Linked DNA regions of Diceros bicornis minor. The protein of the gene in region 1 binds, or shares a complex with, the protein of each later gene. Links are inferred from orthologs where the notes say so. Each region holds a gene or a part of one and is shown in the gene's direction. Other genes may lie near its edges.

Evidence for each region.
Region 2: the proteins of OGT (region 1) and KRT7 are in contact, whole or in part, in a crystal structure (PDB 4XIF), measured with the Homo sapiens proteins. The link is inferred for Diceros bicornis minor from reciprocal best matches to the Homo sapiens genes OGT and KRT7. Residues at the interface, in NP_858058.1 of Homo sapiens: His506, His508, His509, Asn567, His568, Pro569, Tyr642, Thr643, Lys644, Gln849, Phe878, Val905, Ala906, Pro907; in NP_005547.3 of Homo sapiens: Val9, Phe10, Thr11, Ser12, Arg13, Ser14, Ala15.
Region 3: the proteins of OGT (region 1) and RBL2 are in contact, whole or in part, in a crystal structure (PDB 4XI9), measured with the Homo sapiens proteins. The link is inferred for Diceros bicornis minor from reciprocal best matches to the Homo sapiens genes OGT and RBL2. Residues at the interface, in NP_858058.1 of Homo sapiens: His506, His508, His509, Asn567, His568, Pro569, Tyr642, Thr643, Lys644, Gln849, Phe878, Val905, Ala906; in NP_001310537.1 of Homo sapiens: Thr417, Pro418, Val419, Ser420, Thr421, Ala422.
Region 4: the proteins of OGT (region 1) and ZNF831 are in contact, whole or in part, in a crystal structure (PDB 8FUF), measured with the Homo sapiens proteins. The link is inferred for Diceros bicornis minor from reciprocal best matches to the Homo sapiens genes OGT and ZNF831. Residues at the interface, in NP_858058.1 of Homo sapiens: Phe723, Ile734, Met779, Ile787, Ile790, Asn791, Arg792, Gly793, Leu808, Ala809, Thr831, Arg832, Ser833, Gln834, Tyr835, Gly836, Leu837, Pro838, Glu839, Arg877; in NP_001371283.1 of Homo sapiens: Phe937, Ser938, Pro939, Lys940, Tyr941, Leu942, Leu943, Arg944, Leu945, Pro946.

Annotation. Positions count from the first base shown.
Region 1 is NC_080781.1:64,766,689-64,774,698, forward strand, and holds the start of OGT (UDP-N-acetylglucosamine--peptide N-acetylglucosaminyltransferase 110 kDa subunit), read left to right. Parts: upstream 1-5,004; 5' UTR 5,005-5,104; exon of another isoform or gene 5,105-5,200; 5' UTR 5,201-5,209; coding exon 5,210-5,246; intron 5,247-8,010. UniProt on the Homo sapiens protein: Catalyzes the transfer of a single N-acetylglucosamine from UDP-GlcNAc to a serine or threonine residue in cytoplasmic and nuclear proteins resulting in their modification with a beta-linked N-acetylglucosamine (O-GlcNAc).
Region 2 is NC_080756.1:17,875,838-17,883,636, reverse strand, and holds the start of KRT7 (keratin, type II cytoskeletal 7), read left to right. Parts: upstream 1-4,790; 5' UTR 4,791-4,927; coding exon 4,928-5,251; intron 5,252-6,591; coding exon 6,592-6,803; intron 6,804-7,799.
Region 3 is NC_080771.1:6,627,186-6,635,197, forward strand, and holds the start of RBL2 (retinoblastoma-like protein 2), read left to right. Parts: upstream 1-5,005; 5' UTR 5,006-5,093; coding exon 5,094-5,333; intron 5,334-7,623; coding exon 7,624-7,754; intron 7,755-8,012. UniProt on the Homo sapiens protein: Key regulator of entry into cell division. Directly involved in heterochromatin formation by maintaining overall chromatin structure and, in particular, that of constitutive heterochromatin by stabilizing histone methylation.
Region 4 is NC_080758.1:4,509,539-4,516,786, reverse strand, and holds the start of ZNF831 (zinc finger protein 831), read left to right. Parts: upstream 1-4,247; coding exon 4,248-7,248.

The DNA of each region.
Region 1 (8,010 bases):
TGGACTAAGCTGAAGAAACTGAGATACAATGTTTGCCAAAGGAAAGTACTACAGATGACACAAAAAATTATCATAGGAATCTAAGATCATGTAATATTTCTTTAATAATAGTTCTAGTTCCATAGGTCTTTATATGTTATGCCAATTTGTATCAGAGTCTAATGACAGAAAAGGCAACAATTTCTAAATTGGTGGCATATACTTCTTTAAGATTTTTTGATGTAAGGCCATTAAAAAAGTATACAAACCACTAAATGAAAGTGAAGGCAACAGAAAAATTCAACTTTTCACAACGAAAAAATTAGCACAATCTTAAAAATAATTTAGAAAATGGTGTTGTAAAAGACATGTTGCAGACCTGCATTCTATTACCCAAGAGTATGTCAATTCATAATTCTTTCTAAAGTATGAGATTAAAACTAATTTTCAGTGTATATGTAAATTCTGCATTTTATCACATGGGTATGTTTCTTCAACACTATCTTCTGAAAATAGGTCATTTAAAGAGAACGATTTTTATTCTAAAAGTTTCATTCAACTTTACTTTGGATTGGATACACATGAAGTGTGCCCTCAATGCATAAAAATCACAGTGGATAGCAGCAAAGGACTTGGGGAGGTATGGATGAAGGAGAATCTGATAATTCACATTGTGATTATTTTGCACATGATACAAGATATTCACACTTCTAAAACCTCAAGACTTTCTTTTTTAAAGAACCAAAAATAAACTCAAGACACCTTGCTGACACTTCCCTACCCCTAAACAAATTGATTACTTTTTTCACCTAAAACTGAACCAGCTATGGCAGCAAAAGATTTTGATAGCAATGAAAGTTTGTAAACTATATTTCAATCTCTTTTTCTTGAACTGAAAGTGCAAGATACAGGGTTCTCCTAGTCTTTCAGTAATGCTTCTCCTGTCAATAATCTATTTTGTTTGGCAAAGGCAGTTTTTGAAATAAGTCTATTGGAATACTGACATAAAACAAAACGACACAGGTCTTGCAAAAGAACGCCACCTACACAAATTGTGATACTTGATTGGACAGTCTGATAGGGTAAATTGCAGATCCAGGCAATTTGACAGGGTAAATTGCAGATCCAACTTTGAATAACAAAAAGCTCCATTTTCAGAGTCTTTGGTTGAATGTTTAATTAGATCACCAAATTGTCCCCCCACATCTGGCTGTTCATAAAAGCAAAACCTACCATTTGAGTGCTCAATTCTAGTGTGAAGTGTGTTACCATGGGAAGGAAAGCTCAAGCTTAAACTATAACTGTCATTAGAACTATCCTGAACAAGAAAAGAACCATCTGGAACATTTACTAGATTCCCTTCACCCTCTGAGCATGTAATTGGTCCCCAGTACCATCCTTATTCCGCAAGTTTTTTCAGCTCCTCTGTAAGGCTTGTTACAACCATAAGACCACTACTTTCCATTGAATCATAAACTCTTGCAACCTCAGGAGCAGAGTCAGGATCGAAATTCAAATAATAGCGCATACTTTCAGACACATGGACATCTGTGCCGGTGAGTCCACTGCAGTTCGTTTGCATTTGATAATTCTGCATTAGAGGTAGCAATGGTGAACGTGGAGGGACATCATCACGACTCGCTCTTGGGCTTTGCAATGCGACGCCTGTGGTGCCAATGAACAAGCCATTCACAGACTGATCCACAAAGATCTCTGGGGCAACGACTATGTCCTGGCCTACTTGATTTTCATTTTTGGAGAAAGAGTTCCCTCCCACTTGAGAAAGTACTGCAGAAACTTCCATGGGAGAAGAACTGTCCAGACAATAGCTAGGCGATCCTTCTAAAGGATGCATCCCCTCATCTACAGGCACAGAATACCAAACGCAGTCTTGAGGCATAAGTCCAATAACTACAGGCATGTGTTCATTGAGGTGAAGATGCAAGTCTCCATTTTGAGATTCTGAACTCTTCAATGAGTTATTTTGTTCTTAGCACGCAGTTTCAGGCTGAAGACTGAAAATCTTTTTGAACATTATTCCGTGCTGGACTTGGATTGGAAGAATAAACCTAGGCTTTGACTCTCACCTCCTCCATCTTGATACACGTATCCTCAGCGTTTGTAAGTCAAGAGGTCAAGGGGTAGGACTATAGGGATGATTGCCAAGGGAAGTGGATCTTATTGGTCTTTGAGCTCTCACATCTTTAAAGACTATTATTGGTGCTGAGGAGAGGAAAACGTATCCTCTGGCAGAGCTCCTGGAGGGTGGGCTCCCCTTGCCTTTCAGCTTTTGTTCTGCAGAAAGCCGCCTTTTTAGTGTACCCATTAGGCTTCCCTCTTAATCTATGTTTTCCACCTTTTTCATCTTCACTGTTGATATCACAGCTGGCCATATCTTTACCATAGCAGCTACCAAATAAGGAATCACGTTTTCCAAACTCACTGGCTAGTGATGGTTGTCATACTACCCTGAAATCAGTTTCTCCTTTACTTTTATTCAGGTTCAAAGATTTCTGGAAGGTTTTAAGACTAATTTTCTTCATTATGACTGGTTACCTAACCCAGGGGGCTCAATTTCTCTCTGGAATATTATCCCCAAACATCTGGAGAGCCTGTGGGGCTACATCTCTGTATTTTTCCAGCTTCCTTGAGCCTTTGGAGCCATTTTCCAGCCGCAGAGTGGCGGTGGCGGCCAGAGCGTGTCTCCCGCTCCCTCGCCCAGCGCTAGCGCCGCTGGTGCGAAATGTGTGTTGTTTTCAGCCGCTCAATTTGTGGTAACTTGTTACAAAGTAACAGAAAACGAAGACACCGTTAGTGGTGTTATTAGGATGGCAAAGTTTGGAATTGGGATTGAAGTGTGGCTGATTTATTTCAGATGATTCTGAATTTAGAATTGCTGCACATAAAAGGGAGAAAAAAAATAACCAGAAATCAGCGTTCAAGAGAACACACAAAAGCACCTCCTTCGATGTCCAAGTCAGGCCTTCTTCGTCACCCTCCTCCAGCCTGAAGTGACTGTTCCCTCCCCAGATATTTATAGACAGTAATATATTTCATCACCTAAATACTACTCTTCTGTTTTATGCTCTGGTAGCTTTTTGTGTCTACCTAACTGGGCTTCAAGTTCCTTAAGGGCAAAGATCTTGTCTTGGTGACTTTTGTGTCCGCCACAGTGCTTTGCACTCTAGTAAATGTTACCTGACTGGCCAAAGAAGATGTGTTTGTCAGATGAGTAAGTCCCTCAAACTAAACCCTCCAGGTGCTATTTCTGGAAGGTACCTGGAGGGGGTTCTTGAGACTCCAACAGGGGTTTTTCTTTATTGAACCACTGTGAGCCCCACTATCCAGCTTTCCACCCAGCAAAATGTATCGTAACATCCTCTGACTCTTCTGTCAGGATAAGGAACCTTAGACCACAAGTATCAATGGGCCAAATAGCCTGCCTGACTGGGAAAACGACCTGGCATCTAACAACAAAAAGAGTTTTACTTAATTAGCTAGCACCCACTAATCAGTAAGGCCTAAACATCTGCCAGTGGAATCTGAGAAGTCTGTTCTAAAAGTTGAAAAGCTGAGTTTACTCACCACAGATGGGGGCATTTGTGGGGGGGGGGGAGGACTTTTACCAGTTAAATCAAATTAAGAGAATAGATTGGTGCCCAATTTCCAGGAGAGTTTGTAGAGTGAACTTGGTCTTTTTCACTGCATGTGACTCTTCATTATGAATGTGATGGAGGAAATTATCAATAGTATGAATTTTCTCTGTGCTCATATCCATAATGAAAGTTTGTGAACTGTCTCAAAGAAATTGAAGCAGAACTTGAGGACTTAGGTTTTTTTTTTTTTTTAATGTAGTCAAATGACTAGGTAGTGGAAATGTTTTGAAGAAATTCACTGACCTGTTTTCTTAGATCAAGGACTTTTTGAAATAAAAAGGCTCTGAGAGATCCAACTTGTTGCCTCCATTGGTTTATAATAATTTCTTGCTGATGTGGCAAGCTACCCTAAATCTTTTCTGGAATAAGAGATGAGATGTAAATTAATACCAATGTGACAAAATGTCTGAATAGTGGATTTGAAACTGCAGGAAGATCATAAGAGCTCATTTCTTCAAGGAAGTGGAGGCAATTCAGCCTCCATCTAGATATGAGGTTTAAGTGAATTCATTTATTATTGTTGAACTGCTTTGAGCTAAACGAAATCACTGATTGTGATGATTTGCAAAGCTATGTGGTGGAAATGGAGTCACAACTCAGAAGAGTCATGGATCTTGACGAATATGAATCATCTTTAACATCTTTATGGCTGCCTTTGGAGTGCAAACTCTCAGCATGTTTCTGAGTTATGAAGCATTTGCCCTCATACTGTGAGCAGACCTATCCTGAATACCAAAATGATTTTGAAATTTCGGGCTATATGGCCACGATGTGAGATGTTTGGGTTCATTTGGCCCTGTGAAAGCATCAATCTTCTTTGTTAAAGTGCTTAAACCAATGGCTGGAGTCAGAATTAAGACGTGTTCAAATTGGGACCCTCCCCTATCGTTTTGAACAACAGTTCAGTCTTTGAAATATAACCATTTAAATTTACTTGCTCAGAATTGATCCATTAAACTTGTAACTATCCATTTTGGTACGAATAAAGTTGATTAAACTTTTTCAGATGTCTTTGGCATTTATATCAAAATCTTCACCATTGGCTAGCTAATAGACTAGACCACTTTGGCAAAAATGCATCCGTCACGTGTACGGGTTTCTTTTTACCCTTCCGCTTCACTAGTAAAAAACTTGGACGCTCCTCGCCCAGACAGTGCCCCAACCGCGAGTGCGGTTGACAGGGTTGCTCGCATGCGCTTTCGACAGAATCGTGTTTGTCGCAATGGGCCCCGCGCGGAAGGTTACAAAAGAGCTAGGGGATTCGAGTACACTCATTTTGTGGGTAGAGCTGGTTACCGCGCTACTTCCGCGCCGGTACTAGATTGTAACAGAAAGTAGTTCCGGTCCGTGTTGTTTCGGCCGAGGAGCCGTCGCCGCCATTTCAAGACCGTGAGAGGTAGATGGGCAACTAGAGTTCTAAGGTTCGAAGCCTGTAACTGCTGCCGCCGCTTAAGCCTGCCAAAACACTGGTACGGCTGCTGCCCTCCTCCTCCTACCTCTAGAAACATTCTTGCCAGTAGTGGCGGCAACAGGACTCAATTACCCCCCTCTTGTTTTTCCTCAAGAAGCTCCAGATGGCGTCTTCCGTGGGCAACGTGGCCGACAGCACAGGTACCGGTGTCCGTTCTACCTTAGCTGACGCCGCGTTGGGGTCTCGCGCCGTCCTCTACCTCTCCTCATTCCCTTCCTTCACCCTAGCCATCCCCATTACAGCAGTGGCATTGCGGAGCTTTTCGTTCTCTACCGGCGTCTGGTCGGGTTTTCCGCTGTCGTCCGCTCCTCAGACATTTCCTCTTGCTTGCTTGCTTGCTTTTGAATTCCATAAATTTTCCAGCTTTCTACTCTCTCGGGACGTTTCTACCCCACGTGCGCGCCTAGGATGTCTCGGAATGGACTGCAGTGGAATTCCTGTCCTTTGACTCGCCTTCGCAGCTGTTTTCCCCCTAATTCAGCTCATCGCCCCCTCCTCTTCCCCTGCCACATCCCCCTTTAGGCCTTTCTCCGTAGCTAGATCCGGTCCTTCGCTGTCAGTCTGGGGCGGGGGTGCCATTCCGATGGAAGCGTATCCTCACTGTGCATCACCCAAGGACGAGCAAAAGCTCCTCGGTGGGCTCTACGTAACCTCGAGAAGAGGGGATATTGAGAGCACCCCGCTGGGCAGCGCCTTTCGGGTGTTCCTTCGGTTGAGCGGCCCCGGTTTAGATTGGAAATTTCCAGGGGTTCCTTTCGCCATCGCCCAATTCCACCCGCTGCCCCCAGCCTGGATTTCCCACCCTGTGCTCCCTCCCTTCCCGGGGGAACCACACCCTTTCCTTCGCGAGGTTGCCAGCCCTGCAGTCCACTTCCTATCCTTGGGGAGAAGCCACCCTGGGGGCTTGGTGCTTTGGCGTTGACCACCCTGCCCGCCGAAGTCTCGCTTTGTGTTACTTTCTCCCTGTGTTCTTCCGCCACCGCTTCTGGGGCTTCCATCCCCATTCCTTAGCTCAGTAGCTCTTTATTCATAGGGTGTGTATTTTTTGGTTTCCATCCTTGCTTGAAGAGTTTGTAAAGCAACTGGAGTGTAGCTGCACAAGTGCAAGGCGGTTGCCCTTTTAGACAATTCAGTCGACAGCATTTGGTACTAAAAATAAGAAAACAACCAAATTACAGGAGCGTCCCTCAGCTGCCTTTCCATATTGAGGCTATTTGGGGCGGGAGGGGTGGGGGTGGGATTGGGCTGCGGTTCTAAGGTTTCCCACGAGGTTATTTTTTTGTTGTCGTTGTTTCTCAGTTGAGATGTGTCAAGGGTTTTATTTATTGTTTTTGGACATTGTGCAGTAATAGGTGAATCTTCAATCGTATCTTATCCATGATTGTAGACAGTGGGATTAATAATTAGTCAGTGGTCGCCTCCCGCCCAGGGACTTTTAAAGATTTAAGATTCTGTACTAGCTTGCCCTTTTCTAGGTGTATTATTTTATTTGAGGAAGCTGTCATTTAAAGTGTTAAAAATAGCGGATAAGCGGCTTTGAAAAGTTGATAAAATGTGTTAAAATAAGGAGCTAGGAAGTTCTAGAGACTTGTCTAAAATGTAATTTTGTAGTTTCTATTAGAGATAGAACCCCTCCCGGATTTGGATGCAAGTCTCTCTGGCTCTTGTGTTAGTCAGCTGTGCATTCTGTCAGGAAATTTACTTTGCTTTCCTGAGCATACAGATCACTCGCCAGCTCTCATAATTGGGGAGCTAGGCTCGGATTTCAGTTTGTCACTGTGACCTTGGTAGGATTTAAGTAATTTGTACATGGTTTCCCATTCCAACCGTCTAGTGAAAGTGCTATGGCCAAATTCCCAGTAATGTATCATTGTTTAAGTATTTACAATTGAGACTTAGTTTGTTGTTGTTCTTTTTCCCCTCTCTGAGCTTTACCCATATCCTTTAAGTATCTGAATTAAGTTACTTACAGCAAAGTGTTTTCATTTATTATTCATTCTGTTGCACATTATCAAATGGTTTTATGTTTTAGCATTTTCCCGTTATTTTTTTTAAGTCATTGCAGTTGTAGGTAACTGCTTGGTTTATGTAGGGTTGTTTGCAATGTCTTAATCCTTTAGACAATGTCAGTGCTCTCTGGAAAATGCTGGTGTCAAACCGTCGTGGGTGGGATTTAGTTAATTTGGTCTCATGAGTTTGGGATGGTAGAGGAGCTGTATAATCTTGGGTTTTTATTTAAAATGTTTGATGACCCCTTTAAATATTTTGGCTCTTGACAGATGAATTCATCTTGTTTGTCAGCTGTTTTAAAAATAGCACCTTGACTTTTAGTTCTTTTTTCCTTTTTGCTTGTTTCTAGTGTCGCCCTTAATTTAATTTTAAAAACTGAAGTTGTGAAATATACAAAAACATCAATATAATTTTAAGAGTTAAAAACTCATGGTGTCCCAGGTTAAGAGAGAGATTGTTGCCAGTACCCTACCCCCCACAAATCCAACCTAAAACATGGGACAAAGTATTAAATTTCCCAGTAGATTATTTGTGACCTTGTAAATCACGTTTTATATTTTGTTTCTTTATGTTACTTAAGGTATAAGGAATAATGTTTAGTGAATCTTTAGATACTACCTCTGGATTTATAATTTGAAGGTACAAAGTATTTTTGGTCATAAAATGTAATCTCATTTGGAAGTAAATATTTCTATCGAGTCTGGAAAAGAAAGTTAATGGGTGAATTCTAAAAATGCCAATTCTGCACCTGGTGTTAACTTGGGGGTATAAGTAATGTGCAGAACACTCTAGTGCTTTACATAGTTTCAAGCCTTTTCATCTTTAAGTTTAATATACCATATTTTTACATTTTTTTGTTTGCATTTCTAACTTTTTGTTTTCCCCCCTCCTTCC
Region 2 (7,799 bases), on another chromosome or scaffold:
AGGATGGAAGTGAAAGTCACTGGACTTGAGGAGCTAAGGGAGGATCAGGCGCAGATGCTGGGCAGGTCATCTGCAGGAGCATGAGGGTGCCAGGGTGGAGAGGGGCACCAGGAACCAGGGCCAGAGTCCCTGGGGAGCGTGAGGGGGTGGTCAGGAGGTCGGGAGCTGACTGTGGGCCAGCAGGGACCGGCCACAGGGGAGGGGGTAGATGGCTGGATGGCAGTATCGCTGGACGGCATGAGCCTCACAGGCTTTTCAAAAACTGCAGTGATTTCTGCAATCAACACATAAAGGTAAAAACTCAATCAGTATATAAAGGATTTTATTCTTTTCAGTAAGTAGCATTCCTCCGAACGTATGTAGCTTAATTCATCTAATTACTTCCCATTGATGGGCATATATGTTGTTTCCTGTTTTTCACTAACATAAAATTATGGCAGCAGGGACCACACGTCCGTGTGCACTTTTGGTGAGAGCATCTGTAGAATGAGTTCCTGGCAGTGGAGGTACTTGGTCAAGGACAAGTGGATTCATTTAATTTGTTTTGTTTATTGAGGTAAGGACACATGTCTTTAATTTTGATAGCTATTCTTGGGGCCCAGGGAAGGCCACCCCAAAATACCCCACAATGGCATTTTGATTATTTTGAATTAAAGTTACTTGAGGAGCAAAAAGGGCATTCTGACCCTCCTGTCTCTGATCCCCTGAAAGCAGAAAATGAATCTCCAATGTGAAAGGTGTTCTCCCTGCATCCTTATCACCAGAGCTAGGGAATTCAGGGCCGAGAATCCTGCCTAAACAAGCCTTGCTAATTTACCACCTCAAGCCTAAACTCGGCTTAAATTCCTCACTAACTACATACCTCAAATCTAAGTTTCTTTGTCCTGTCAATTCTTCACAAATTTACCATTTCTTTATGTAAAAGATATATATACTGCCTGCTTTGTTCACTCTCCGAGCATCGTTTCTTTATGATCTCCAGTACGTACAGATTAAACTGGGTTTTTCTCCTGTTAATCTGGTATTTTCCAAATTTTATGATTAGTCCAGCCATAGGAACACAAGAAGGGAAGAGGACATGCCAATCGATGACCCCACGAAAAAAGGACAGAACTTTCTGTTACCCACACACCCACAAACACTGTTAGTCTTTGACCATCTGACAGGTGAAAATGGCTTTTCCTTGCTATTCTGGTCATATTTCTTTGAGTGAGGTTGAGCATTTTTTTTTCATATTTGCTATTTGATTTTCTTAATTTCTTTTCTTCTTTTTGTAAGGAATCTAGTGGTTCAAACTGTCAAGGTTCAAATCCTGGCTTTTCTACAGACTAGCTATGCGACTTTGGGCCATTTACTTAAATTCGTTATGCCTCAGTTTCCTCTCTTAAAATGGAGGTAATAACCCACACTATGCTGCAGGGGTATCGTGAGAACTAAATGGGTTGTTGGCTGCAAAGAGCTTGGAACCTAGCCAGGCCCACGGAAAGTAGGCACTACGTAGCTGTAGCTCATACTATCCATGTCTGTTGCCCACGTTTCTGTTGTATTGCTTGTCTTTCTTATGCATTCTTCTATTCAGGAAAGTAGCCTGTTGGTTGTCATATATGTTGCTTCCTTGTCTTTTATCATTTGACTTTCTTTTAAAGTATTACATTCCCCGCAGAGGTGTGAAATGGCTTTTGTTACGATTACAAGCGTTCGAATTCCAAGATCAAGAAAACAAATCATGCCTTTTGTTTTTTCTCTAGGAATCAGAGGATGTGTTTTTGGGGGAGGACACTGGTCAGAGTAATGGTTCTGAAAGTGCAGCAGGGAGCCAGAAAGAATGTCTCCCCCCTCACGGGAGAGCAACAGCCAATTCCACCTGCAAGGGCCACAGGATGGTGGTGTCTGGGTAGGTTTAGTGAAGCCGAGCCGGGCTGAGGACATGTCTGCTTGTTTGTACGGAGCTGGGTCCAGAGGGAGCAGGGGAAAACCAGGCAGGGAGTGGGAGCACAAGCGAGTATGTGCTTGGTGTGTGTGTGTATGTGTGTGTGTGTCACAGAACACTATGGAGATGGGAGTGAGCCTTTGGGGTAGGCGAAGCTTTATGAGATTAACTCATCTCAAGATTCTGCCCAGAATCTCCTAAGGGGTCTCTGTGAGGCCAGGCTGTGGCGGGGGGAGACTGAGTTTAATGAACCACTGGACTGTGCACTCTCGCGGGGCAGGAACTTGACCCTCGGCCTCTGGGTGTTGACAGCTTCTCGTGAAGGTTTCCAGAGGGTGTCTGTGCACGCGGCCTGGCACCAAGTGGGCTCAGGGTGCTGGCCTGTGAATGGAGAGACAGGAGGAGGCTGGCAAGGGCCGGAGTCCCAGGAATGCTTCAGGGAGGGGATGAAGGACCGAGGGGTGGATACTGGAGAGGCCCTGGAACGGGGAAGTGTTGCTCACGGAGAGGCTGAAGCCTGGGTCTGAAAAGCCATAGACCTTTTCTCCTTTGCAATGTCCTCCCAGCTCCCTCTACCTGAGGAACCCGGAGGTTTCATCTCTTGTCAAGAAACTACGGCCCAGAGAGGGACAGTGACCTGTCCAGCATCACAAGGCAGGTCACCAGCGCCCTGCCAAAGATTTCTCAGGCCAGGCTCTAGAGGAGAAGGGGAGGGGTAGGAGGAATGCCTGGTGTGGGTGGGGTATAGCAAATCCTGTGGGGGGCTGCAGGTGGGAGGGGGTGGGAGGGGCCAGCAGCAAAATGTAGGTGGGGTTGGGGGGTGGAGGGGTAGGGGGCTGGGGTGGGAGGTACTGTAGTGGGAAAAAGAGTTGAGGAGGACCCCTGAGGGGTAAGGAAGTTGTAGAGAGAGAGAGTGTGTGTGTGTGTGTGTGTGTGTGTGTGAGATGTGGTATGTATGTGCGTGCATGTGAGTGATGTGGTGTGTGTGTCTGTGTATGTGTGATATAGTGTTGTGTGTATGTGTGTATATGTGTGTATGTGAGCATGTATGTGTGCGAGAGTGATGTGGTGTGCATGTGTGTGTGTGAGTGTATGTGTGAGTGTGTGTATACGTGTATATGTCTGTGGAAATTAAACATTGGGTCTCTTTTGCTTGCTTGGGGGTTGGGGGTGGGGGAGGAGTGGGACCCCCATGACTGCAAATATCTCAGGGCCAGGCAATCTTGACGCTCTTCAAGCTACAGCTGAGAATTCCAGGTTAACTCTCCCCACCCCCTTCTCTCACGCTCTCTTTCTCTCTCTTTCTCTCTCTCTCTCTCTCTCTCTCTCTCTCTCTCTCTCTCTCTCTCACACACACACACACACACACACACACACACACACACACCCTGCAGCAGACATGACTGAAGGTTTCCCTGGGTATCCCTCCACCCCTGCCCTAAGCTGTCCTGACACCCCCATGGAGGAGAGGGCAGGGAGGGGTGTGGGTGTCTGCTGAGATGCCCGAGAAGGGGCTGCTGCATGTAGCCTCCTCCGGAAGGCCTTCCGGTCTAACAGATGGAAACCAGGAAGGGCATTCCATTCCCACCCTCCTCCACCCGGACGCCCCCAAAGGCTTGTTCTGTGGTGACAACCTGGCCAGCTCATTGGGCGGGGCTGGAGCTGGGCTAAGGGTGACAACAGGCCTGGCAGCTCTCTTTTACAAAGGCTCTTAGGTGGCCCCTCTAGTGAGCTGGGTCTGGGGAAACGGGGCAGGGACCTGCAGAGGGTGTGGCATGTGAGACTGGAAGCTCCTAGGAAGTGAGGGCAGCGCAGCTGTCTCTGTCTGGTGTTCCCTGTCCCAGCACAATGTTGATCTCCCTCTTGGGCTGGGTTTGAATCCACTGGGGATTGTTTGGTGGTGGCTTCAGGTGGGGGAGGCGGTGAGAGCTGAGGACCTTACAACAGGAAAATGGGGGGAGGGGGCAGTATTTGAGTGTAAATGCAAGCACATGCACAGACATGCACACGAAGTGTGAAAGTGTGCATCCACAGACCCCCCTCCCCTGAAGACAGACGCCCACTTGTATAAGAACGTTCACAGACATGCACACAGGTGTGCACATAGGGAAGCCCAGTGGCCTGCAGGTGTGTACACACAGAAGTGTACAGACATCCACAAAGTGTCCCGAATACACACAGGTGTCCTCTTCCTCTACAGGGACAAAACAGAATAAGTGGACAGGAACGTGATTGGGGATGGGGGAAGCATACACCCGGGGTAACCATTCCCACCTGCCTCTGGGCTTCAGATGCCTATTGGAACAGGAGGAGAGGGCCAAGAAATGGGGTCATGCCCCACTCGGCCTAGTTTCTATATGGAAATGAGGTGTAGGGACAAGCGGTCAGGGAAATCAGCCAGGACAGGCCCACCCTGGGGTCAGGTTACTCAAGAACTGAGCTGAACTCTCAAGGAGGAGCTGCACTTGAGGGGAGGGAGAGCATCGGGGAATGCCTTTCTGGCTTTCAATAGCCTGGGGAGCGGGGCTGGACTGACTCCTGGACTAGAACTTTTTGTCCACTCCTTCCCCCAATCGTTTACCGCTTGATCTCTCTGCTCTGGCCTCAGAAATCTGGATATTCTTCACCCCTTCCCCAAGCCTCCTCCAGGAAGCCTTCCCTGACTGATACCGTTTCAGATCGGCCCGGACCGCTGTCTCCCACCGCTCTCTGCGTCAGCCTGCATTAGGGGGTCTGGAGGGCTTCGCCTTCCTCCCCATTCTGGACGGTTCCGGCTTGGACCGAAAGCCTGGGCCTCGCGAGGAGGGCGGCGCGGGGGCGGAAGCGGGGCCCCGGGAGGGGCCGGCGGGCAGAGAACGGTGGCCGGCGGCCAGCCCCGCCCCAACCTGTGTCAGCCGATCCGCCAGCGCCTAGCGGATAAAAGCGGCCGAGTCTCCCGGAGGTCAGCGAGTTCGGCCCCCTGTCGCCCGCCGCCACGTCCAGCCCTGTCCAGCCAGCATGTCCCTCCACTTCAGCTCCCAGGCCTTCAGCTCGCGCTCCGCCGCCTTCCCGGGGCGCGGCGCACAGGTGCGCCTGAGCTCCGTGCGCCCCGGCGGCTTCGGCAGCAGCAGCCTCTACGGCCTGGGCGCCTCGCGGCCGCGCGTGGCCGTGCGCTCCGCCTACCCGGGCCCGGGGGGCGCCGGCATCCGCGAGGTCACCATCAATCAGAGCCTGCTGGCCCCGCTGCGGGTGGACATCGACCCCTCCATCCAGCAGGTGCGCCAAGAGGAGCACGAGCAGATCAAGACCCTCAACAACAAGTTCGCCTCCTTCATCGACAAGGTGAGCCGGCCAGCGCCCTGCCGAGCCACGCCCCAGGCCACAGCAGCCACCCCAGCCCTGGCTGCACGCGGGTCGGGCGCTGGGAGGACTGGTGCGGGCTCTCTTTCCGCCAATATCGGGGACCTTCCCCCTCTCCCTGAACCCTGTGGCTCTTTTGTCCCCCGCAGTCTCCAAGCCCTCTCTTCCAGCAAGCTGCCCAATCCCGGGATTTTGCCTCCCAGAATGTGTGCCTGGGGCTGTCCGGCTGGCTGCCCCGGCTGTGTCTGCGAGGCGGCTGCGGTTCTTGGGCCGGTTTTGTTGCCGGTATCGAGTTGGCACTCCAGAGGCCGGGCCAGGAGTTCTCTCTCTGGGCACCTTTCTGTGAGAGGGGGCTGCTGGAGTCAGAGATGCGGTAGGGGTGACATGCGCTTCCCAGCTGAGGAGACGCCCCTCCCCCTCAGATTCTGCAGATGATGGAAGTAAAGGGCTGGAGGGAGGTGGAAGGGGGCTCCCCCCACGCCCACACCACCACACCTACGTGGTTCTCCAGCCTCTCTTTGGTGGTAGGGGTGAGGTTATGCCTGGAACTAAGGGCTAGCCCAGTGGGGCCTCTCTGGCCAGTGCCTCCTCCCTGGAGTGTAGACCAGGCTTCCCCTCCCCTGCCTTCCAGTCTCTCTCTGCTTCCTGGCCCCACATCCCCCTCTCCTTCACCGTGTAGGCCCTGAATATACTCCAGGCTCTTCTGAAGCCCTTCCTGCCCAGGCTCCCCCCTGCTGTGGAGCTCCTCTCTCTCACCATCTGCGGCCCCCAAGTCCCGCTGCCCTGAGTTGCTGGTTCTGAGAAGGCTGGCTTCCCACCCCAGTCATACTGGGTGCTCCATGGGGGCTTTGGGGCCCAGGGCTGAGCACAGACTAGGTGCTCATTTTGCATGGCCTTGGTTCTAGTGCCCTGTCCAGAGGCCCATTGGAGGAAAGGGGAGAGAGGATACTGAGGGAGGACGAGATGAGGTCCCAGCCTGAAGGGAGGGGCCGAGTGAGGCCTAGGACACTGACAGGTGGGGGCAGCCCTTCAGAGAGGGAGTGGGGTGGTCACCTGTGATGGATGGGGAGCACAGGAGGGAGGAGGCCCCGGCACGAGCACCGCACACGTCGGTGGAGCAGGCCGACCTGACCCCTGGGTCACACTCTAAGACACTTGAGACAGAGTCCTGGAGGAGAGGCTTGTCCAGGGTGGGCTTCCTGGAGGAGAGGGCCACGGGCTGGGGGAGAACAGCCAGTGGGAGCGTGGGCTCTGCTGGGTGGCTAGAGACCCTCCCAACCCCGCTGTGGATGACACCGTCTCCTCTTCCATTTCCCTTCTAGGTGTGGTTCCTGGAGCAGCAGAACAAGCTGCTGGAGACCAAGTGGGCACTGCTGCAGGAGCAGAAGTCGGCCAAGGGCAGCTGCCTCCCGGGCATCTTTGAGGCCCAGATTGCTGGCCTGCGGAGGCAGCTCGAGGGGCTGCAGATGGACGGGGGCCGCCTGGAGGTGGAGCTGCGGGGCGTGCAGGACCTGGTGGAAGACTTCAAGAATAAGTACTGTCCCCCAGTGCCCCCCGTGGGGATCCGTGTCCTGGGCCCACATGCCTCTCCTCAGCCAGCCCTCTGCAAGTCCCCTCTTAGGGGTCAGAGGGTGCGGCTGCTCCGTACAATAACTCCCTGAAGGGAAGGTCCTAACACATTCCCTGTCTCTCCCTCCCCCCTACTTTGTTCTGGGGGCTGTTTTTAAGTCATTCTGGTCTTTTCTCTGGACTTCCTGCCCGTGGACTATCTCCGCCCAGCCCTGACCTGCACTGTTCCCTTTGGGTGCCTGACCAAGGTCCCAGGAGAGGGTGGGGCAGAAGGTGTCCTACCACACATGTGCTCCAGAACTTGAATGACCCTCACAGATTATGCTAGGACAACTCCATTTTGTTCAGAGGAGGAATTAGAGACCAGAGAGGTTCAGGGACCTGATGGAGATCACACAGCAGACCACTAGGAGAGCTGGGACTTGAATTTGGGGCCCTTGACTCCCAGGAGGAGTCGGGGAGCTGACTTGGGACCGGAGAAGCAAGGAGAGAGAAGGGTCACTGTGAGCCCTGGGAGGGGCTGGGGAGGCTGAGGGGCGGGTCTGGTCAGGGCAGGACCTGGAAAGGAGGCTGTGAGGAGGGGCGGGGGTGCCAGCCGGGAGGGCTGGGGTTTTGAGGACAGGCCTTTGAGGTGCCCGCTGAGCTCTTTTCTCATTGAATGGAAACCAAAGCCTGAGGCTTGGGCTGGCCGCACCCTGGTGTCCCTGCCCGTGGACACACGGAGCTAGTGAGTGAGTTCTGTGCTCCGCCTGAGGGTGCATGACTAAGCCCGAGCTCAGGGACACTGGCTCTGACTGGAGGTAGAACAAAGGCGTCTGTGGAGCGTGCCTACCCCCTAGTTCCCTAGGGCGACAGTCAACAGGATCAATCCGAGCAGGTGGAGGCAGACAGGTGCAGGGCAGGGAAGGCCTGGCGCCACCAGCGAGCCCCTGTTGTTCTGTGCACTTGGCTTGCATATATG
Region 3 (8,012 bases), on another chromosome or scaffold:
TTATAGCCTGAATGCAAGAAAGAAGAAAAAAATAGACAAAGTGTTTAAAAACTCAACAGTACAGAGCAGTTGATGGTATGTAGCCCAATATCCCCTCCAACACACCTTGTAGGCATCATAAGGCAATAATTGTTTATAATGACAGAAAGAGCTAAAAGGGCAGGCTGTGTTTATTCCAGATTGCCAAGGCTTCCCTGGGCACTAAATTTAGCTAATTGTAGTTTATACGGTGGATTGAATTTTTGGCAGGCAGATCCTCATTCGCAATAAGCAAATCTGGTTTGCGGGGTAGACCTGCTGGGCTCGTGGTATCAGTCTATATGGGACACAAACACCTGACTGGAATTAATCACAAATAAAATGCCAGTTAACTGAGGTCTCAACAAGAGACTCTTCACATACCAGGTGAAATATAAATTGGCCTGAGCCCGCCTGAGTAGATAGCAGCCTCAAGTGGAAATTCAAAACAAATGAACAGTTTTTGCTGGCAGCAGCACTTTTTTTTTTCTTTTTTTTGAATGTTTATGGGAGACACATAAACAAACTGCAAACACAGTTCAAGCCATAGTCTCAATAAAAGCCATCTGATCACTCAATCTGAAAGGAATTTAACACTTATAGCTTCATGATCACAGAAAATAAATTTAAATTTCAAAGTAGGTGGGAATGCAAAATGATAGAGCCACTTTAGCAAAAAAATTGGCAGTTTCTTATAAAGTTTAACATTTACTATGCAGTGCAGTAATACCACTCTGTCTTAGTCTGCCTGGGCACCTTCTTATAAGGCCACCAATCCTATGGACTAGGGCCCTGCACTTACGACCTCATTTAACCTTAATTACCTACTAAAAGCCCTATCTCAGAATACAATCACATTGGGGGTTAGAGCTTTAACATATGAATTTTGGGGGGACACATGCAGTCCATAACATACTCCTAGGTATTTACCCAAGAGTAATGAAAACTCGTGTCACACGAAAACATATACATAAATGTTACAGTAGATTTTCTCATAATCACCAAAAACTGGAAACAACCAAGATGTCTTCAACTGGTGAATGGATAAAGAAACGTTGGTACATTCATACAACAGAAGACTACTTATCAATAAAAAAGAATGAACTACTGACACATGCAACAACTTGGATGAATCTGAAAGGCAATTTGCTACATTCAAAGAAGCCGGACTCAAAGGCTACATATTTTATGATTATGTTTCTATGACATTTGGGAAAACAGGCAAAACTATGGGGACGGAAAACTGATTAGTGGTTACCAGGGGCTATGTGAGGTTGGTTTTTCTACAAAGGGGCACAAGGAAACTTTCAGGATGACGGAAGTGTTCTTGTTTGTGGTGGACGTGACTGTATGTATTTGTCAAAATTCATAGAACTGTACATATAAAAGAGTGAATTTTACTGCATGCAAATTAGACCTCAATGAATCTGACATAAAAGAATGAACAGAAGGATACTAAAACAAATTAATTTGTCTGTACATTTTTGCTGAAAGGAGATCTGAAAGAGATCAATAAAGGACTTTCAAGCACAAAACATATTAGGATAACATTTTGTTGGGATAGTAGGAACGGGAATATGAGGGGAAAGAGAAAATGGAATGATAGAAAATTTCCAATTGTTAAAGAGAAGTTTTGTTCATGTATTTTTAAAATTGGATGACAGTGAGTATCAAATCATGATATTTAGAGTCCATTGGATATATTTAAAGTTTATTTTAAAAGGTTTTATTTTAAAAGGTTTATAGTTACATGCTGGATATTACATCCTTTGCACCTGATCAAACTTTTAATGAAACATTTTAGATCTCGGGGCTGGCCCGATGGCCTAGTAGTTAAGTTTGACATGCTCTGCTTTGGCAGCCCGGGTGTGGTTCCAGGTGTGGACCTACACCACTTTTCAGCGGCCACGCTGTGGCAGCGACCCACATACAAAATAGAGGAAGACTGGCACAGATGTTAGCTCAGGGTGAATCTTCCTCAGCAAAAAAAAAAAAAAAAAAAAAATTAGATGTCAACACTAAGATATTCTAGAAGGTTATATCTTTTAGGGAGACATGATCAAAAAGTTTGAAGACCTGTGTGTTTTGTTATATAAAAAATTTTGGCAAAGTTTCACAGTTCTCATGTATTTTAAGTGATAAATATAATGTAAACAAAGTTTATTTTTAGGCGACTGTCATTTACGGTCAGACATTCTATTGGGCTATCAGATCACAACATGAGTAAGGATTTTACATGCACAAAATCTAAGGCTCTAATAAGAAGAAGATATATCTTACTTATCATAAGCAGTCATTCATTCAATAAATATAATGGTGAGTCAATAACATGCCGGGCACCATAAGTAGGCTCTAAGGTCACAGAATGGAACTAAAGAGAGACAGTCGCTCCTCTCATAGATCTTAAAGCATAGTGAGGATGATAGACATGAAACATAAACACGTAAATAATTCATTATGATTATAATAAGTGCCATGAGAATATTTAATAGGGCTGTCTGAGAAACTGACATCTCAGGTGGTACTTCACTGATGGAAGGAGTGATTGAAGATGCGGGGGAAGTGTGGGAGAGAGCACGGAGACAGGCAACCTGTAGGCTGTCAGGGTGTTGACTTCCTGAGAAGAGCAGCAGGAAACCATTTTAGCGGAGGCAAGAGGTGATCAGATTTGTGTTTTAAGATGGCCACTCGAACTTCTGGGAGAAGGAGATAAGATAAGAGAAATAAGTGTTTGTTAAGCATAGTCTAAGAATCTAATTTCAACTCTTTTCTTAAGAACTTGTTCAAAAATTATGTCCAAGTCAGTTAATCTCCATCATCAAAAGTGGCTCTGGGCCGGCCCTGTGGCTTAGCGGTTAAGTGCGTGCACTCTGCTACTGGCGGCCCAGGTTCGGATCCCGGGCGCGCACCCACGCACCGCTTCTCCGGCCATGCTGAGGCTGCGTCCCACATACAGCAACTAGAAGGATGTGCAACTATGACGTACAACTATCTACTGGGGCTTTGGGGAAGAAAAAAAAGGAGGAGGACTGGCAATAGATGTTAGCTCAGAGCCGGTCTTCCTCAGCAAAAAGAGGAGGATTAGCATGGATGTTAGCTCAGGGTTGATCTTCCTCACACACACACACACAAAAAGTGGCTCTGACTTAAAACCTATCTCTTTTTTTGAAGGAATGTTGTCAATTCTTAAGTAATTTTAGCTTTTTAATTTTTTTTATTGTGGTAACATTGGTTTGTAACATTGGTTTATAACATTGTATAAATTTCAGGTGTACATCATTATACTTCTATTTCTGCATAGATTACATCATGTTCACCACCCAAAAACTAATTACAACCCATCTCCACACACATGTGCCTAGTCATCCCTTTCGCTCTCCTCCCTCCTCCCTTCCCCTCTGGTAACCACCAATCCAATCTTTGTCTCTTTGTGATTGTTTGTTGCTTTTATCTTCTACTTATGAGTGAGATCATTCTCCCTCTGACTTAGTTCACTTAGCATAAAACCCTCGATGTCCATCCATGTTGTCACAAATGGCTGGATTTCATCGTTTCTTATGGCTGAGTGGTATTCCACGTGTATACATAAGTAATTTTAGCTTTTTAAGGTTAAACAAATTTAATCTATTGGAGAGACTGGTGGAGGCATAAAAAATTACCAAGAAAAACACCCAATTATTAAGTGATTTTTTTTCTTTCATGATAATTGATAAATACATGTCTTACACTTAACAGGTGTTTGATTATTTACTGCTGCATAACAAGCCATCCTAAAACTTCATGACTTGAAACAATAATAATAATTTCCTTTGCCCACAAATTGGACGGGGATCAGTGGGAAGGTTCATCTCTGCTCCATACAGCATTAGCTGGGACAGCTTGATGGAAGGCTGGAAGATCTGCTTCCAATCTGGCTCATCCAACATGGCTGGGCTGAGGACCAGGGGCCCCCGGTCCTGTGCACTTGGTGAGAACTAACTTCAACAAATTGCCAGCTAGCAGACACAGCTGGCCTAGTCACATTTACACTCACCAACTCTTTGTAGTTTTTTGCTTGAGCTCTGCACTCTCCCCACCCCTACTCCTTCATTCTCTCTTTAAATCACCCAGTTGCCTCTGCCAAATCAGAATGGATCTGAGTTCTTTCCCTCACTGTTAGTAGTGGCTGAATAAAATCTGTTTTCACCCCTTTTACTAATGTCTGGCTTTATTTATCTTTGACAATAGGCTTCTCCAAGTGACCTGGGCTTCCTCACAGCACGGTGGCTGGTTCAAAGGGTCAGTGAAGAGAGAGAGAAGCGACACCACAGCAAAACAGCAGTGCCTACACCTCCTCAAGCATGAAAATGTTTTATAATCTACCCATTTATAAATCAAAGAAGATTTGAAATAGTGATTCAAGTTCACTATAGATACAAAAGGAGAAAGAAAAATAAAAAGAAAGGAACAAAATTAAGCCAATTGGGTGACTGAGGGTAGTATGAATATGTCACTTATAGTGAACGTAAATTTGCCCCATGGGGAAAAAAAGAATTACCACTTTAAAAAAAATCCAATAATTATTTGAAAGGCTCAGATAAAATTAAAACATAGCAAAGAACTATAAATTAGGAGTGAAGCCTAAATTTGAACTTAGGCATATAGGTCCTTTCTATTATCCTTATTTTTTACATAAGGACACTCAGGCGATGAATGTTATTTCTGGTGACACCGTGGACACTAAACCTTCACATGTCAATGTTCCTTGGATGTTTTGTCTTCAGCATAGCCCTGATGGATGCTCTCACGATGAAGAGGCAGCACTTAACATGTACAGAAGCTGCTTTCACTTCAGCGAAAAAAAGAGTACGCGAGCTGATTTTTTAAAGATGATTTTTGACCCCTGCGAGCCTCCGGCCTGGACTACATTTCCCAGCAGGCCGTGCTCAGAACTACGGGTGCCTAAGTGAGGTCCAGCGCCGTTGGGGGCGGCGCAGTGGCTGTGCGGGCGGCCGACAGGCGGGTGCTTCGCGGTTTGAATGGCTGCGGGCCCGGGCCCTCAGCTCACCTGAGGACCGGCCGTCCCGGGGTGCGCTATGCCATCGGGAGGCGACCAGTCGCCGCCACCCCCGCCTCCTCCTCCGGCGGCGGCAGCCTCGGATGAGGAGGAGGACGACGACGGCGAGGCGGAGGACGCCGCGCAGCCGGCCCGGTCGCCAGCCCCTCAGACCCAGCAGCGGTTCGACGAGCTGTGCAGCCGCCTCAACATGGACGAGGCGGCGCGGGCCGAGGCCTGGGACAGCTACCGGAGCATGAGCGAGAGCTACACGCTGGAGGTGCGCCCGGGGGCAGACGGGCGCCTCTCCGGGCCTAGTGGGCGCGCCCCGCGGCGGGGAGGGGCCTCGCCTCTGGCCGCTCGGCGCCCGCGGGGTCCTCCGGCGGGCGCGGCTCCCCGGGTCCCCTGGAGAGGGGTGGGAGCCCCCTGCGCCTGGGAACCCGGCTCTGGCAGAGCTCTGAGCGGCCCCGACGGTGAACCCGCCTCGCGGCTCTGCCCTGCCGGGTTCCGAGCGGGGTCACCTCTTGCCCTAAAGTAGCAGCGCGGGGCTGAGGTCGTGCCGGGGTCACAATGACAAAAATACAGCCACCGTTTTGGCAGGACAGACAGGTGCGGGTGTCAGGACCGCCCGGGGAAGGGCGGGGGACCTGCCCGTGTTCGCGCCGGGTTTGTGGGCTTCTCCTTCACTTCTTTCCGACGGCGCCAAATGGCCTTTGTCCGGGCTTGGCATCGGTTTGCGTAAACGCGTTAAGATGCGGGCTGTGTTTACGGAGGTGTAAACAAAGACGAATCTTCCCCAGGGCGAAGGAAATGGACTTTCTGCCCAGCTGGATATAGACACACGCCCCGCTTTGTCACGAGGCCGCGACGACTTTGGGGGGCTTTTGGTGGCCCCAGGCCTTGCACAGGACTCGCAGAGTCGCTGTGATTTAGGCGTGTTGTGCCCCTTTCTTCGGGCGGGCCTGCAGATGAGAAAAATAGCCATTCTAGCCAGTGAGGCTCCACTCCGTAGGCACCTCCCCGTCATGGGCCAATGGGAAGGGACGCGGAAGTCTGTCTTGTTTATTAGCTGTTTGACTGCCCGTGTGGGTGGCATTTAAACAGGAGGCCGCGTGATTTTCTTAGGTTGTTTTACAGTTTGGGGAAAGAGTAGGGCAAATAGGCTCAGAATGAGAAGGCCTAACCCAAGGTATTATTTGACTGTAACAGGGTGTTTTTGCCAACGTGTCACTCACTCGGCTTATTTTTTTTATTTATTCTTGCATCAATAGAATTTTAATTCGATTTCTTCTCCCCATTGTTATATCTACAAAAAAAGAGAAAGAAAGAAAAGCTAGTAATACAGTGGCTTTAGAACCTGACAGACCTAGGTGACTCTGGACAATTTACTTAACCACTCCAAAACTCACTTTTGTGCTGTGTAAATTTGAGATATTTGTACCTACCTCACAGAACCATTCCGAAGGTTAAATCAGGTAGTGTGTAGTTTCTGGCACATAAAGCGCTCATATAGACAGTGCTTTAGAATTTACAAAGCTCTATCATATACTTAGGTGATCAGGCTGAAAAGGCCATGTTCCTATTTATTTCTCAGTGGTTCCTGTGGTCAGGCAGAGAGAAAGACTTTTTTTTTGGTGATGGGTGTAATTGCCTCAAAATAAGCTCTTATTTTACCCTCAGGATAATCCTGAGGTTCTATCTAGATTAGATAGAACAAGCGTTATCACCATATAGTTGACGTATTTCAATTCACAGAGGTTAAGTCCTGTGAAGTCCCGTGTTATATAAGCAAGTGACAAATAATAGATGGTTAGTAAATTATTTCTGAAAACACATGTTTGATTACTCAACTTTTTTAAGACTTTGATCTCAGATTCTTAGCTCAGTTTACTCAATAAATGAATGAATATTTATTCATTTAGTGAATATTTCACAATCACCTATTCTTTGCCACTTTTGTAGGTGCTGGGAATAGAGCAGTGAACAAAATGTAAAAATTCCTGCCCTTGTGGAGCTTGTAGTCAGGTATTCTGTAAGATATTGTGGGATGTCAGGCTCATGGAAGTGTACAATGGAAAATAAAGCTCATGGATATTTAACACAGAATACTGGTTATCGAATTGTATCTTTTGATTTCTTGTATTTTCTATGCTTTATACTTGTCACTCATTTAATTCTCACAGTCCTCAGATAAGAAAATTGAGCCTCTGTGACTGTTAAGTAGTTTGCCCAGGGTGTTCTGCTCCCATGTTGGCACTGCCAAGGCACATGTCCTGAGAGACAGAGCCAGGTGGAATCTGTATTGCCTTTTATGATCTTGCAAGTTACGTGGTATCACTTCCACCTGTGCTATTGGCTGAGACAGTTCAAAGTAAGGAAACACAGACTCCTCCCTCTCAGTGGAACAACATCAATGTTACCTTATGAGAAGAAACATGGGATCAGCCATCACTGAAAATACAGTTTCCCACAAACATATAAATAACACTTTCAATTTAAACGTAAGAATTTTTTTATATTGAAATATCTATAGCTCATTAGGTAAAAATCAATTTTCTTTTATTTTACAGGGAAATGATCTTCATTGGTTAGCATGTGCCTTATACGTGGCTTGCAGAAAATCTGTGCCAACTGTCAGCAAAGGGACAGTTGAAGGGAACTATGTATCTTTAACTAGAATCCTGCGATGTTCAGAGCAGAGGTAATTATGTTAGAATTTGAAAAGTAGAGTGTGACTCATTAAAAGCTCATAAATTACAGTGATAGTAAGAATTCTCTTTGTTCATCGTTTTCTGAGCGTTTGTACCTATGGAGTGCTGAATTTAGAAGCTAGGTCATGGTTTCCCTTTACCACATCTAAGTTAGTATCCATTCTATTTTGCTTCTTTGGTGAAAAATATTTGAATTTTAAGGTATTAGGCACTTGTATGAAGAGTTTACTATTAAAGGTTTTGACTCA
Region 4 (7,248 bases), on another chromosome or scaffold:
CTGGTCACTCTGGGCCCCTCTTGGGTTCTCTGGAATTTATTCTGGGGCTGCCCGGCTTCGGGTGCAGGAATCCTGAGGGCTTCCTCTGTCCCTCCCCTGGACCTGGACATGTGCCGTGGGCTGTGGCTGCTCTGTGTCCTGGGGCCTCTCCCTGTGGCTCTAGGGAATGGAGTCCAGGCTACCCCTCCACCCAACTGCCCACTGAAGCCAAAGCTGGAGGCTCTCCTCCCCTCCGTCCTGACTCTCCTGCCTCTCACATCCTCCCAACCGGGGACTATCCCCCGAGGATTGGGAAAACTGGCTCATCCTCCTGAGATTTCCCCTTAGGGCTTAGGCTTTGGAATTCAGGAGTCTGTACCCTGTTTCTGCCACAGCAGCTCCAACAGAAGCCCTGCCCGGCTATGTCCCTCCGCATTTACCATTTTGGAGCCAGCTGCGGGCAGCACTGCTGTGCCTGACGGCTTTCTGGGGCCACCAGAGCTGGCTCGGTGCATCCACTTGGCCAGCTGGACACGCCAGCATATCATTGCTCCCAAGAGCGACCCTCGATCAGGACAGCTGCCTCACCCCCGGGTCGGGTAACTGAGGCATGTCTTCTATATGATCCCTTCGCCTTCCTCAGCCCAGCTGAGCTCCTGCTGCCCACAGCGGGGACTTGCTCAATGACACACTTGACAGCTTCCATCACCTCGCCTTTCCCACTCCTCTACGAGTGTTTCCTGGGGTCACCTCCCAAATAAAATCCCTGTTATGACATCCTTATTTTGTGAACCCAATCTGAGACAGCATCACTTCCCAGAGGCGGTGAAGGGAGCCTGCTGCGCTGACTGATGCGGAAGAGAAGAGGGGTAGGAAGAAAGATAGGACGAGGAGGAATCGCTAGTTAACAGCTCAAAATATGATGGCGCATCATTGAAAACTCAAATGAGTGCAGCACTTACTCCGTGCCTGACACTACACTCAGTTACTGTTTCATCTGATTCTCCCAGTAGCTCCACTGGAGTGACATGTTCTCAGAGCTGAGGGAACAGAGTCTCAGGGATATTCACCAGCAAGCTGGGTAAGCAGGGACAGGAACTCAGGTCTGACGATTCCCCTGGGAAGCATCTTGAAATCCCTCAGCTAGCAGAGAGGATGCAGCGCCTTGAGGTCAGCCATCGTCTTCCCCTTACATCAGCGCTGAGGAATTCTAGTAGCCACCTACTAATTTCCAAAAATTTCTGTCTTTAAATCTTTCTTTAAAAAATTATAAGGTCTCAAATTTTTTGAGGCAGGAGGCATGATGCTGTGAGCTCCATAATGTTAGACGGGTTTATGAGGAACAGAGAGTGAGAGAGATGTTTCAGGATTGAAAAACAGGACTGACCAAGTCCTGTGGTGTAATATTCTCACCATGGCCAGTTCCAAACTATGAACTTGACCTTACTGACCCCGAAGTTGGAAAGAGATGGAGCTGTGGAGTGCCACACCATTACATAGTATTTCCACTGTACCAACGCAATCAGCATAAATAACCTCAAGAGCGCTGATCATGGTAGGATGTAATAAAACAATTAGTAAGTGATGAGCTTTGAGTATTTAGAACCTTTTTTATTGAGGTAAAATTCATTAAATATCATTAAATTCACCATTTTAACTACCTTAACTTTTAAAGTGAACGATTCAGTGGCATTTAGTATACCCATAATGTTGTGCCACCACCACCTCTATCTAGTTCCAGAACATTTTCATCACTCCAAAAGGAAGCCCTGTACCCAATTAAGCAGTCACTCCTCATTCTCCTTCTCCTCCCATGGCAACCAGTATAATCTGTTTTCTGTGTCTATAAATTTGCCTATTCTGGATTTTTCATAAAAATGGAATTATTGAATATGTAACCTTTTGAGTAGGGCTTCTTTCATTTAGTGTAATGTTTTCAAGGTTCATCCATGTTGTATCATGTGTCAGTGCTTCATTGCTTGTCATGGCTGAATCATATCCCATTGTACGGATACACTACATTTTGTTTATCCATTCATCAGTTGATGAACTTATGGGTTGTTTCCACCTTTTGACTATTTTGAATTGTGCAGCTATTAATAATAATAAACTATGTACAAGTTTTTATTTGAACGCCTATTTTCAATTCTTTTGAAAGGTGTATACTTAGGAGTGGAATTGCTGGGTCACATGGTGGTTCTATGTTTAACTTTTTGAGAAGCTGCCAAACTGTTTTCCACAGTGGCTGCACCATTTTATATTCCCACTAGCAGTGTTTAAAGGTTCCAATTTCTCCATGTACTCAAAAACACTGGTTATTTTCAGTTCAGTCTTATTATTACTCTAGCCATGCTAGTTGATGTGAAGTCGTATCTCATTGTGGCTTTGGTTTACATTTTGTAATGACTAATGATATTGAGTATCTTTACATGTACTTTTGGCCATTTGTATATCTTCCTTGGAGAAATGTCTATTCAAGTCCTTTGCTCATTTTTTAATTGAATTGTTTGTTTTTTTGTTATTGAGTTATAAGTGTTCTTTATATATTCCGGATATATCAGGTACATGATTTGAAAATATTTCCTCCCAGTCTGTGAGTTTTTTCACTTTTCTGATAATGTCTTTTGATACACAAAAGTTTTTAATTTTGAAGCAGTCCAATTTATCTTTTTTTTTAAATTGCTTGTGCTTTTGGTGTCATATCTAAGAATCCATTGCTAAATCCAAGGTCATGATGATTTATTCCTATGTTTTCTTCTAAGAGTTTTGTAGTTTTAGCTCTTACATTTAGCTCTTGCTCAACAATTTTGAGTTAATTTTTGTGTATGGTGTGAGGTAGGGGTTCAACTTCATTCTTTTACATATGAGTATACAGTTGTAATACTTTGGTTTTTAATATAAGTTATTTAACTGTAAGTTTATATAATTTAACTTTTAATTATGGTCATGTTTAACAACTGGCTTGCAAAATTCCTGAAAATTTGACAATCAGCTCTCATTAAGCCAGCGTGAGCTGGTACGAGCCAGTATGAGCTGGTCTGAGCTGGCGCCAGCATGCCACTACTTCCACTGCACCCTGCTTAAACAGTCTTGCTGCTGAAGGCTGGAACTTGGATTTGTTTTTCTTGAGGAGCTGAGTTGGGGGATGGTGGAAGTGTGCTCATGGAGCTCCTGGGGGATGGGTGTCTGAGGAAGAAGGATCTGGAGACCCCCAATCCTCTAGCCATGGGCCTATCTCTCATTTTCCCATTGCATCTGGCTTTCTGTCCCATGGTTCAGAGAGCATGGTTGAGTCTCTTGCTCCCTTGCCAAAAATTTGCCCTGCTGTTCCCCTGGCTGAGAGGGAGCCAACTGTGTTCCAGCTGGATCTGGGGGTGTTTTGGAAGCCCCACCTTGGAGCAGAGAGCAAGCCTGACCCTGAGACTGGGGAAGTGCTCTTTTTCCTGGTAGGGTGGCCAGATAAAATACAGGGTGCCCAGTTACATGTGGATATCAGGTAAGTAATGCACAATTTTTTAGTATAAGCATGACCCATGCAAGATTTGGGACATACTTATACTAAAGAATTAAGTATTATTTATCTGAAGTTCAAGTTTAGCTGGGACTCCTGTATTTTCATTTGCTAAATCTGGTAAGCTTCCCCTCAGGTCAGTTTTCTTCTTTATTGCCCTCATCCAACAGCAGAGACTCAGAACTCCTGAGTGGGAAGGGACCTGGGGAGGTGCTGATTCTCTGCCCATTTTACAGATCTGGAAACCCAGCCCCTGATAACGAAAGGGACTGGTCCTAGTGCCTGGAATCATGGTGAACTTTGGGGACTTCACTGAGCTGAGCTACACGACTTTTCTTTTTCATGAAGTCAGCACATTTTCTGGGTGTCTCCTCCGCATGGGAACTGTTCTGGGTGTCAGGGGATGACCGTGACAAGGCTTCCATGCACCTGTGTAGAAGGCCAGACTCAAGAGTTCCCTTTGGACGTGTTAAATAAGAGGCAGGATTCAGACAGACCTGGGTCCAAATCCTGCTCTGCCGTGTATTGGCTGCATGACAAGTCACTTCCACTCTCTGAGCCTCAGTTTCTCCTTTCCTCACATGGAGACAAGGGCACTTTTCTTGGGGGATTGTTGTCAGGCTTCAGTGGAGTGATGAAATGCCTGGTGGGGGCAGGGAAGAGTTTAGGGTATGATGAGAGACAAGAAATATGCATGGTAAAGTCTGGTTGTTGCCCACAGGTTGCCTGGCATCCTGGGCTGCCCAGATGATGTGGGATGGAGGTGCCAGAACTCACCCGCGCTGCCTCACCTGCCAGGGACCAGCCAGCTCCTGCTCCTGGCCCCCCAGGGGCCCCAGCTGGGCAGGCCTCACCTCACCTGACCTTGGGCCCTGTCATCCTGCCGCCAGAGCAGGGCCTGGCCCCCGCCGTGTTCCTGAAGGCCCTGCCCATCCCACTGTACCACACAGTGCCTCCCGGGGGCCTCCAGCCGCGGGCCCCCCTCGTGACAGGCAGCCTGGACGGGGGCAGCGTGCCCTTCATTCTCAGCCCCCTGCTGCAGCCTGAAGGACCTGGCCCCACCCAGATGGGGAAGCCAGCGGCCCCAGCGCTCACCGTGAACATCGTGGGCACTCTGCCTGTCCTGTCGCCGGGCCTGGGGCCCACGCTGGGCAGCCCAGGCAAGGTGCGGAACGCCGGCAAGCACCTGTGCCCGCACTGCGGCCGGGACTGCCTGAAGCCCAGCGTTCTGGAGAAGCACATCCGGTCCCACACCGGTGAGAGGCCCTTCCCGTGTGCCACCTGCGGCATCGCCTTCAAGACCCAGAGCAACCTGTATAAGCACAGGCGCACCCAGACGCACCTCAGCAACTCTCGGCTGTCCTCGGAGTCCGATGGCGGTGGAGGCAGCCTCCTGGAGGAGGGGGACAAGGCTGGAGGGACCTCCAGAGCAGATGGCAGGGGGGACAGCTGGAGCCAGAGAGGGGGCGACGGGGCCCAATCAGAAAGACCCCTTTCTCCAGCCGCCCAGGGCACTGGACTCTGCCCAGTGCCCACCACACATCTTCCTGTGGCAGAGAACCTGGATCTGAGGTTGGAAGCGGTTGCCTGTCCAGGGTCCACATTTGCTGACAGCGAGGCCCCTTTGGCCCGCACCCACACAGCGCCCCCCGGGCTCCCGCTGGCCGGCGCACAGCCGCGGCGTAAGCTCCTGGAACAGAAGCCGCCGACTGCCAGCGGGTGCTCCCTGCAGCAGGCCACGTCCTCAGAGAAGCCCGGGGACCCCAAGGCCTCGGAGGGCCGGCTGAGGAAGTGTGAGAGCACCGACTCGGGCTACCTGTCCCGTTCGGACAGTGCGGAGCAGCCGCTGGCCCCCGCCAGCCCCCTGCACAGTCTGTCCGAGCACAGCGCTGAGTCCGAGGGGGAGGGCGCCCCGGGGCCGGGGGAAGCCAGGGCCCAGCCGGCGGGGCGGAGGCCCAGCTTGGAGCTGGAGAAGAAGCAGCTGGAGGAGCGCATCGCCAGGCTCATCTCGCACAACCAGGCCGTGGTGGACGACCCCCAGCTGGACCACGTGCGGCCCCGTAAGACGGTCCTGTCCAAGCAGGGCAGCATCGACCTGCCCATGCCTTACACCTACAAGGACTCCTTCCACTTCGACCTCCGGGCCCTGGAGCCCGGCCGGAGGAGGCAGGCCACCCTCTGCTCCGCCCGCTCCAGCTTCAGCCCCCTGGACAAGACACGGCCCCTCTTCTTTCACTCGGTCCCCACTCAGCTCTCCACCACCGTGGAGTGTGTGCCCGTCACCAGAAGCAACTCGCTGCCCTTCGTCGAGGGCACCAGGATGTGGCAGGAGCCGCCGGACCCCCAGGACGCCTTCCCCAGGAGGCAGAAGCCTATGAGTCCCAGGCCTGCCCCTGCCCGACTGGTGGGCGTCCCCAGCGGTCACCCCCGGGCCCTGGTCAGACAGGCCGCAGTGGAGGACCTGCCGTGTCCCCCCGCTGGAGACACCCCTGCTCCTGTAGATGACCCGGGTGGAAAGAGAACTGCTGTAGGGGAGGGGGTGGCCGGTCAGGGCAGAGCAGCCAGTAAGAAATGCAGCCAGAGGAAGCTGAAGATGTTCTCCCAGGAGAAGTGGCAGGTGTACGGGAGCGAGACGTTCAAGAGAATCTACCAGAAAATGAGACCCAGCCACTCCGGAGGCAAGAAGGCGAGGGAGGTGACAGCAGGCAGTGGGACAGGATTGGACCTTCCTTTGCAGGAAGAGGCAGGGGGCAAGGGCACAGCGCTGGCCCAGGATGGGAGGACCCCTGTCCATGGGGACATTTCTGTGGGGGCCAAGCCAGGGCCTCGGGGAAGTCTGCCAGCTCCAGAGGGCTTCTTGGTGACTGAGCCCCCCAGGCAGAGGGAGACGGTGGCCAAAGCAGGAGGCAGTGACCAGCCTGGGGTGAACAGGGCCATCTCGCACCCTACTCTCAGCTGCAGAGATCCCCCCTGTTTGGGCAGCAAGAGCCCTCTGATTCCTACAAATGGGAGGCTGGAGCTAGGGTGTCAGCTGCCCCCACCACCTGGTCTCCTCAAAGGAAGTGACCTAGAGGCTCCCAGGCTGGTTTCACCAGATCCCAAACTGGAAGGAGGCACCCGCAGTGGTGGGGACGCAAGGACCTGTCAGCGGGCCCCAGCCATCCCGAGGCAGCCCAGTGGTAGCTCTGGGGAGCCGCAGCTTGCGGAGGACCAGCTCCCCTCGGAGAGCAAGAAGCTGAAGGTGGAGGAGCTGAGCGGCCAGGAGCAATCGGAGTCTCTGGGAGCAGGAGGAGAGGCTCCTGGTGGCCACGTGCAGGCTACCTCCCTACCATCTCAGAACCAGGACAGTGGGCCCGGGGACAAGCCAGGAGGGCTGCAAGGGAGCGGCGACTGCACGGCAAGGGGCAGGGCTGGACAGCTGGGTGAGCCCCTGGGGACCTCCGGCACCTCCTCTGCTGGGTCTTCAGTGGCCCTGTGGCAGGCAGCGCCGAGGGACAAGGAGCCCTCGCTGCGTCCTGCAGCTGCAGTAGCCAGGAGCCACTCCCCGCTGGCTGCCCAGCCTCCGGCTCCCGGCGTCCTTGCTGCCCTGGCGGACACTGCCTTTCCTCCTCAGTACCTCCTCAGGTTACCTCAGGGAGAGGCCCACCCCCCACCGCTCGTCCCCCCAGGGGCGGGGCGAGGCCAGGACCCTCTCTGTGGGAGAAGGTGTCCGGAGGAGCGGGAATCCTTTGTTGAGTCGGGACTGCGGGCCATCCTGC